Linked DNA regions of Neurospora crassa OR74A. The protein of the gene in region 1 binds, or shares a complex with, the protein of each later gene. Links are inferred from orthologs where the notes say so. Each region holds a gene or a part of one and is shown in the gene's direction. Other genes may lie near its edges.

Region 1 (5,174 bases):
GGGAACGGCTCATGTATATATGTAAACAAGTAGTCGTACCGATATCGTGTAGATGGCGGCGGATAGCTGAGACACGCGAGAAGCTGTGCAGCGACAACAGTAATGAGATACCAAAGCAGTAAAATACCACTTCTGGCTCCCATCAGTTGCTTCACGCGGTGTTGTATTGTGCAGTGTGACTGAACCACGAAAGTGGCTATGGCCATCAAGCGTGGAGGCTGGTCTCGATGTCTGTCAAGGCATCTTCGCTTCTGGAAAGCCTGGAGGGCGAACGAAGCCTTATAGACCGGGTGCGTCCGCGAGGTTGTTGCCCAGGGGAAAGCAGGAATGATCTCAGAGATGTTCCGAGCGTTTGGTCATCGGCAGCCCCGAGACAAGTGCTGCGAGCGTATGCATGTGCCACATTTGGGCTTAGGTAACACACGGTGCTGCCCTGGGCCGATGTGCGAATTGGTCGGAGGTGTGCGAGAATTTGCGAACCGGGTGGGCCAATAGGAAACCAGCAATCGAGCTGCGGTCCGACACAGGACGCTTCACAAGAAGACAGGAAGTTGGGAGGACGACAAAAGTGTCGAGAAAGAGAAAAAGGTGTTCCCTCGCGCCCCTGGTAGACCGGGTCGCTGCTTAGCGTAGAGACGGGGGTCGCCCCTTTGGCTTTCGGAGCGACCGTGCAGCGTGCTTGGTGATAAAAGAGTGGGGACGCCTCAAAGAAAGAGGTCTCGCTAGGTACGTAGGTGGAAAAAAAGCTGAGAAAGAGAAAACTCGAGCAGAGAGAAATTGACCGGTCGTTACGATATCGATGCTGGCTTGGACGTCGAGTCTTCCGTTGCCAGGCTTCGGAGTCGAGACCGCTGCTCCTTTTGGTGCAGGACCCTGGCTTCTGGCAGAACTGCTGATCGCCGGTTTTCCGGAACCGAAGATGCCTTGCAAAAAGGGACATTCCGATCTGGTAATCCGCGATTTTGACGTTGGTGAAAACTCGAGCAGGAGAGTTCGAGGGCGCTCTAGAGTGGGATCACCGAGCAGCAATGGTTGGCTGGCTGGCTGACTGGAGGCCAGCTTTGCTGACTTGGTGGCGAGGTTCGTGATTTTGAACCATGAAGCCAGCAGCCCACAACAGCATTTCCCAAAGACTTGGAAAGGCGGAAGAAGAAGCGATGTCCAAAGAAGGTGGAAGACAGAATGGAGGTGTCGAGTGAACAGCTTTCCATGGGTGGTGGGTGGTCCTGTGGTGCAGAGTTCTGGTCAGCCTAGGTTCACCCACAACGGTACCGGACATATCAAGCCCACATCAGACGGGTTGTGCGAGACAAAAAGATGGCCAAAGCAGCATTCTGAAGTCAGACGAACGAGGAAAACACACCTCAAGAGGGAATATGGGTATCTCCATCCCCATAGACTTGGGGCGGTGCTGAATTCACGGCCTCCAATCCGGCCCAGACGGCCCCGTGAGCTCGAAAGCTTGCAAGAACCGAACAAGAAGCAGCCCGGCCATGTTCTGCCGAAGAAATGGCAGGCAAAGGATGGTGAAGACAAGGAAGAAGTCGGCTGGGCTGTTGAAAGAGGCAGGTCTGGCCGTGCGGTTGGGAGGTTTGGGTTTGGCGGCAACGAGGTGAGGTGTTGGGTGATACAGGCTCGGAGGATGGAAGATGGTTGGACGGCTGCGGACTCTCGCTTGGCTGGGAGAATTGATTCTCGGTGCAGTGGGGTCCCGTGCAGAGAGCCCCAAGCCCAGGCTCGGCAGACCCCGAACTGCTCGGAGCCTTTTTGCACTTCCACAGAGCAAGTCAAATCACGTAAGCTCATCTGCACATATTTGTTGCAATGGAACTGTTGGATCAGCTCATGGCGAAAAAGCTAGAAATAATCAAACTTCTAGTGTCTTTTACACAACTCATGCATCCATGGTCACAGTTTGCGCCGTTGCGGCTATATGTGGATAGAAATCGTTGCTACTACTAGCGCACGAGCCACGCTACGTGCCTGCCTTACATAACATTGCATTGCGCATCCAAAGCAACATAAAGGTCCCACTCGACTGTGCACAAGCGGCTGCGGGGACCCACATTTCATTGAACCCCTCATCGACTCCATGGAAGGCTCTGACGAAATCCCATTGCTGATTCCCATGGCGAGGCCGTTCCCTTGTTTTGAGAAGAACAACGGGCGAGAATGGCTTTAAAGCATCGTTACAAGTAGTGAACATGTCGACCGGTTTTAGGAGACGGGATACCGGCCCGCTGGGGGAATAAGTATGTACATCCTCTTTCATCTCGATCTCGAGTTTCGTCACCTTGATCACTACGGCGCGCCTAGCCTAGGTATTCACAGACGCGACGAAATTTTCCCCACTCTAAAAAGGTGCCCCTCCATTATCACTTTCTCCATCTGACATCTGGCATTGGATGTGGCACTGACAACATCCATCCATCCATCCTATTCAGTACGCGACGCGACGCCTATCAACAACCAAAGGATATCAAGGTCCTCGATAAACATCCCCAACGAAATATCCTTGCGAGTTATCTGATACGAAGCAACCGGCTCCCGATTCACCAAGTAACCGAAACCCTCTCCCTCCCTCGCTCTATCCAACAAAGCCCCAACAGCCAACAATGCCCGACGCCAAAGGCCGCCGCATCGCTCTCGGATGCGAAGGCTCCGCCAACAAGCTCGGCATCGGCATCATTGCGCACGACCCCATCACCGGCGAAGCCCTTGTCCTGTCCAACGTGCGCGACACCTTCGTCTCTCCTCCCGGCACCGGTTTCCTTCCCAAGGACACAGCCCGACACCACCGTGCCTACTTTGTGCGTGTAGCCAAGAAGGCGCTCGCCTTGTCGGGGGTCTCCATCTCGGAAATCGACTGCATCTGCTACACCAAGGGGCCCGGGATGGGCGGGCCCCTAACGTCGGTGGCCGTGGGCGCCCGCACACTCGCGCTGCTGTGGGGTAAAGAATTGGTGGGCGTGAACCACTGTGTCGGGCATATCGAGATGGGGCGGGCGATAACGGGGGCGTCGAACCCGGTGGTGCTGTACGTGAGCGGGGGTAATACGCAGGTGATTGCGTACGCGGAGCAGCGGTACCGTATCTTTGGCGAGACGCTGGATATTGCAGTGGGTAATTGCCTGGACCGGTTCGCGCGCACGCTGGAGATCAGCAACGACCCGGCGCCCGGGTACAATATTGAGCAGCTGGCCAAGCAAGGTGGGCGAGTCTTGTTGGACTTGCCGTATGCGGTCAAGGGAATGGATTGCTCGTTCAGCGGAATCCTGGGGCGGGCAGATGACTTGGCGGCGCAGATGAAGGCGGGCGAGCCGGGCCCCGACGGCGAACCGTTTACACCCGCAGATCTGTGCTTCAGCTTGCAGGAAACGGTATTTGCCATGCTTGTCGAGATCACCGAGCGGGCTATGGCGCACGTCGGTAGCAACCAGGTTCTTATTGTTGGCGGTGTCGGTTGCAACGAGCGGCTACAGGAGATGATGGGCGCGATGGCAGCGGAGCGAGGCGGAAGTGTCTACGCCACCGACGAGCGGTTCTGCATCGACAACGGCATCATGATTGCTCATGCTGGTCTATTGGCCTACGAGACGGGCTTCCGGACGCCGCTTGATGAAAGCACATGTACACAACGCTTCAGAACCGACGAAGTCTTCGTCAAGTGGAGGGACTAATGACAAGGAAGGAAACGAAGACGAAGATGACCATTACGACGATACCCCCAAATCCCATAACCTTTACTCTATCCACGGCAGCCACTCTATATGCGCCTCTTGTTGTCCCTTAGTGCCCCCTTAATGGAGCAGGATGCCCATGGACAGTTTGCCGACAACAATTTGCGCCCGCTTCCATAAAGTGTCCTCGTCATCGCTACAGCGTCCTATAGACATTACTTGTAGACATATCTAGAATAGGTCATACTGGGCGGTTCATCATGCACCGCTATTCTACTCATGACTTGCGCTGTTCGTCTAGTAGTGGTAGCCACCAGCCAACTGTACCCAGCTCTGACTACTAGCATTCCAAACTCAGATGCCCTCTGTCGTTGTTGGCTTGTACATGATTGTCGTCACATACTGTACAGTCCGTTAGCATCAACGACTACGTGCAAAAAGATGCAGCTACGAAATACGGGGAGACGAACCTTGTTCTTGTATCTCGTCGTGGCCGACACAGCCAGAATATTATTCTTAATACTGCTAGTAGCTAGATGGTTAAGAACGGTATGGTTGGGCATGTTCAGAACGCTGTTGTCATCCTTGATCAAGGTGGCCGCGTTGAGGATGGGCTTGCCGAGGAAGCCAGGAAGCGCAGGCGGCGTTGGGAGTTTCTCGATGGCGTTGACAGCACTCAGGTAAGGTGGACTTTCCTCGGGTGCGTCGAAGTCGAGTAGATATTGCGGGATCTTGTTCTCGAACAGCTCCGCCGGAGGGACAGGTCGGTCCCTAGGTGCCTTGCTTTCCTCCGTCTCGGACGCGGAGGTTTTGGGCTCCGTAGGTTGCTGGGAATCCTTGGCGGCGCTTGCAGCAGCTGCCTGGGCAGCGGTGCGCCCCACATCATCAGGGCTGACCTCGATGTAGTTGACCAGGTTGTTGCCAAAGTCTACCGTGGTCGGCAAGTCTGGCGAGGTCTGCATTTGCCCGTCAACCAGAAAGCGAACGTGATGTGTGCCCGGCAGGATATTGATAATAGCAGCGAATACACCCGGTCGGCCCTCACTGTTGGCGAGTAGCGGTGTCAGCAAGGCCCCATCCGTATTGAGAGCGAAAGTGGCCGGGATGTAGAAAGTACTTACACCGGGTGTAATCGTGTCTTCCTGTTCCATTGGAAGATGGTGCCTGTCACGTAAACCTTCTCGCCGCCACGGAGCCATTCGAGCCTGGTGGGGACAGTCGGTCTAGTCTTGTCCACCCGTAGCTCCTCCGTGTCTTCTTCGTCCAGAGTTGAGCTGTTACTCAAGTTGGAAGAGCGTCTGGTGAGCGCGGTGAAAGTGTCGGCATCCTCGAGTGGGACCCCAATGTCGGTCGGGGCAATGATAGGCGATCCGGGTGTGTGGACCTCTTCCTCGATCGGCAGAGGTAGTCGCGGCGGCCTGGTCAGGTACGAGACATCTTGCAGACTGCTCAGCTGCATAGCCGCAGTCTCAAAGGCATCCGATCTCTCTGATA
Region 2 (3,750 bases), about 1.0 Mb from region 1:
TGTTCAATTTGTACTGTTCAGGGAGCACCACTATCACCAGGATATATCGCCCTTATCAGTGAGCCGCATCGTCCGGACCAGTGCCGTTTCTCTCTCCAACTGCACAATATGATTAGTATTGGGGTCCCAAAAAGCCACAAGAAAAGACTTACCATCCAGCGCAACAAGGAAACGGCTCACGCAGTTGTAGCAAGCGATCTAGTGAGTCGGTGTTAGCCCTTAAAACTTAGCTCACGACACGGCCTTTTGTTTGCCACCTTCCCGGACTCCTCGACCTTTAAAGGTCTCTCATATCTCACTCTCACCCACACCTCCCTCACCCTTTCCTTCTTCACTCGTCCGCATCTTTCCGAATTTCCCCCCTCATTATGACGACACAACCCATAAAAAACAGTACTCACAATCGCAGTCAACTCCACCACCTCCCTCTCGCTAAACAACTCTCTAACCCTCTCAAACGTCTCATCCCGCACCTTGACATTCCTCGTCATCTCATCCGTCAAGCACACCGCCGCCCACTGCCTCTCGTTCAACCCTCCCTTCTTCTGGTCCCCTTCCTCAATCAGCAGCGGTTCCTGCCTCTTGACCACGCCCAGACCATCCTCGCCCTCGCTGACGCCCGCCTGAACGGCCAGGGGCGCATGGTGGTGCCACTCGTACCAGGCGCCGTTGCAGACGGCCACGCGGGAAATGGCTAGCTCGCGCTCGTCGGCGGGAAGAAGGGTTTGCGTGCGGATGGCGCCCAGGAAGGAGTTCCAGCCGTCGGCGACGGGCGGGGAGTGGAGCAGGGTCAGGTCCAAGGGTTGGAGGGGACGGGGGGCGCGGCGGGCGGTGATGCGGTCGACGATGGCTTGTTCGGCGTCCGAAGAGGTGGGTGGGGGGTTGGGGATGTAGGGGAGACGCATTTTGGTGGGTGGGGTGGTGGTGAGTGATCTGGTGGTGTTGGTGAGTGGTGACGACGGAAGTCGTGTAAGTCGTGTGTAAGAGGATGATAGCCGGTGTGGTAGTGAACTACGGAAGAGATGTTTGAGGGAGATGGACATTGAGTGTAAGATGCAGAAGGGAAGAATAGAAAGAAGAATACGGATAGAATGAAATACAAGCTTGATGACTTGACAGCTGCAATGCACGAGTACTGTGGTAGTATCATCGGCTTGTTGAAGCCGGTGACGCAGGTCCGTACCTGGGGGCCGGCGGTCGGCAGCGGGGGTTGCGGGGAATCTCTTGCCCGCCTGTCTGCCGCTCGGAAGGAGGGGTCGGCAAGTGGACGTGGGCCCGGAGCATCAACGTCAACAACTAAGCCAGCTGATGCGAGGTACCGGCCTGAATATCACAACCTGATCGTCAAAAATATGCGGTTGGATGTTCGAACACCGAGGTATATGTCTTTGACTTCAAATCTCATCATTCGGACTGGCCGTGAACGCTATGATTGTCTAGCCGCTTGGCCGTTGAGGAACATTTGGTCTCATTTGATGCTCTGAAACAGATTCGGCAAATACAATGGGAGATAATATCGCAGTCCGAAGCCGCAGATCCTCCAGATAGTGGACAGGTGAAGACAACCTCACAGATGGACAAAGACTTGGATCGGTTTGTCCTTGCGCAGAAAATCTGGCGCCTGTTTCGGAGTGAGTATCTCCCCTAAGTGACTTTTTGTTGTTGTCAACATATGAAGAACAGTGAAGTTTCAGGAGACGGTAACGATGTGACATTTGTGCAAGTCGAGTAGTTGATCAACGTTGATCTCGAAATATTGGTCAGAGTCGAGATCACTCACCAATCGGCCGCTCATGTGTTGTTGATTCAGCGGCACAGTGTTAACAATATTGCCCTGTGCTTACCTACCCTGTGTGGAGCTCTTAAGTTGTGAAAGCTTGGCACTTTTCCTTTCCCAGCAACAATGTCCGGTGCCCCTCTGCCCCTCCAGCGCAATGTTTGGCAGACAAGGAAGCCCACTGCCGCCAAAACAAAAGTTCGCGATAATCAAACACAGCCCAGGGCACAACGACACAACCTAACCGAAGCGCAACAAACCTCACCAGATACTACCACTCAATCGCACACCCAGCCCTTTACGACGTTGTCAACAACAACAAGTCTGCCAGATTGATGGACCCCTCTCCTCAATCACCCCCCACCAAAAAGCGCAAAATGGCGACCTCAACCTCAACTTCTACCGCCGCCCCCGCGGTTGTCGAAGAACACCAATTCCCCCTCCCGCCGATCCTCACCCACCCCTCCGCCGCCCCTCCCACCCTCATCACACAAGGCGCCGAAGGCCGTCTCTACAAAACAACCTTCTTCTCTCCCGACATCCCCTGCGCACTCAAGTACCGACCCCCCAAGCCCTACCGGCACCCGGTTCTCGACGCCCGCCTGACCAAAGCCCGCCTCGCCTTCGAGGCCAAAGTCCTCGAGCGGTGCCGGCGCGAGGGCGTTCCCGTGCCTGCCGTGTACGCCCAGAACGCGGCGGCGGGCTGGATCGCGGTGGAATGGATTGAGGGTGCGCCGGTGCGAGTGAAGATCAACGAGTGGTTGGGGCAGAGGCCGAAGAATGAGGAGGAGGAAAGGTCAGCCGCGGAGCAAGATCAAGGACCGTTGATCGAGTTGATGAAGAGGATCGGGGCCGCGATAGCGGGGCTGCATAGGACGGGTGTGGTGCATGGAGATTTGACGACTAGTAATATGATGTTGAGGCCACACACGAACAAGACGACGAGTAGCGAGCAGACGAATGGAGTGAGCAAAGAAGAGGAAAAGGCCAAGTTGCTGGAGGGAGACGTGGTGATCATTGACTTTGGCTTGGCGAACCAGAGCCAGTCGGACGAAGACCGGGCGACGGATTTGTATGTCCTCGAGAGGGCGTTCGCGAGCACACACCCCCGGGCGGAGAACCTGTTTGAGCACTTGCTGGAGTCATACAAGCAGAGCTTCAAGAAGGGAGCGTCTGTGTTACATAAGTTGGAGGATGTGAGGATGCGTGGGAGGAAGAGGAGCATGATTGGGTAATGGTCAACACCTTTTTTTGGCGACAACAAGGCGAGAAAAGATACCCATGGATTTATACACATACAAGAACAGTTTTGCTATAATGATGAGTTGGAACAGCGGAGCTCGCGCGCTGGAAAGGAAAGTGAAGTTGCAATACATTCATGCAAATCGAAACGCCATTTTCATAAGCAACGAAGACAACGAACGCAATTGGTATTAATATCAATAGAATCAGAATGCCTGCTTGCCTGCCTGGCCACCCGTCCCATCCAAAAACTCCCTTGGACCCAGCTACACAATATGCAGCAGCTATATAGGTCGGTTTTGTATGCGGTTCTATTACCCCCCCAAGTATTTTAGAGCGAGTGCCTCAGTTCAACTCGGCACCGGCAAAGTATCCCTTATTCTCAATCACGCCCCTATTCTTCACCACAGCCGTGTACTTAATCACCCATTGTGGCGTGAGGTTTCCCGTCAAGCCGCCGCTGCCCGTCGCTGGGTCAGCCAGAAGCCCAGCACCCTGCGGGCCCAGGAGTTCCCTCAGCGTTCCCTCGGGCAAGATGTCCGTGCAATCGCTATGCACCAACAACTCCACATTTTGTTCCTTAGCCAGCGTCGCCAGCGGCGGCGGCACGTTGCAGCAGTTCTTGAGGTTGATTTGGTCCACCGCCGGCGGGATTGCCACGCGCTTAATGAACCGCGCCAGCTTCTCGGTGCCAAACTCGGATATGCCTAGCCTTTTCACCAGTCCCTGGC

The links. The genes of interacting proteins can lie anywhere in the genome.
Region 2: NCU03836 (region 1) and prk-11 share a complex: the UniProt entries of both Saccharomyces cerevisiae proteins name them as parts of the EKC/KEOPS complex. The link is inferred for Neurospora crassa OR74A from reciprocal best matches to the Saccharomyces cerevisiae genes KAE1 and BUD32.

What each region holds. Positions count from the first base shown.
Region 1 is NC_026505.1:2,566,936-2,572,109, forward strand, and holds NCU03836 (O-sialoglycoprotein endopeptidase), read left to right. Parts: upstream 1-2,088; 5' UTR 2,089-2,361; intron 2,362-2,444; 5' UTR 2,445-2,615; coding exon 2,616-3,680; 3' UTR 3,681-3,961; downstream 3,962-5,174. Other genes in the region: NCU03835 (hypothetical protein), read left to right, coding at 1,029-1,080, 1,296-1,612, 1,705-1,796, 1,880-1,943; NCU03837 (Snf1 kinase complex beta-subunit Gal83), read right to left, coding at 4,035-4,082, 4,151-4,724, 4,802-5,174. UniProt on the Saccharomyces cerevisiae protein: Component of the EKC/KEOPS complex that is required for the formation of a threonylcarbamoyl group on adenosine at position 37 (t(6)A37) in tRNAs that read codons beginning with adenine.
Region 2 is NC_026505.1:1,568,733-1,572,482, reverse strand, and holds prk-11 (serine/threonine-protein kinase BUD32), read left to right. Parts: upstream 1-1,970; 5' UTR 1,971-2,112; coding exon 2,113-3,012; 3' UTR 3,013-3,250; downstream 3,251-3,750. Other genes in the region: NCU04594 (4-carboxymuconolactone decarboxylase), read right to left, coding at 56-99, 153-198, 402-1,043; NCU04596 (gamma-cysteine synthetase regulatory subunit), read right to left, coding at 3,365-3,750. UniProt on the Saccharomyces cerevisiae protein: Component of the EKC/KEOPS complex that is required for the formation of a threonylcarbamoyl group on adenosine at position 37 (t(6)A37) in tRNAs that read codons beginning with adenine.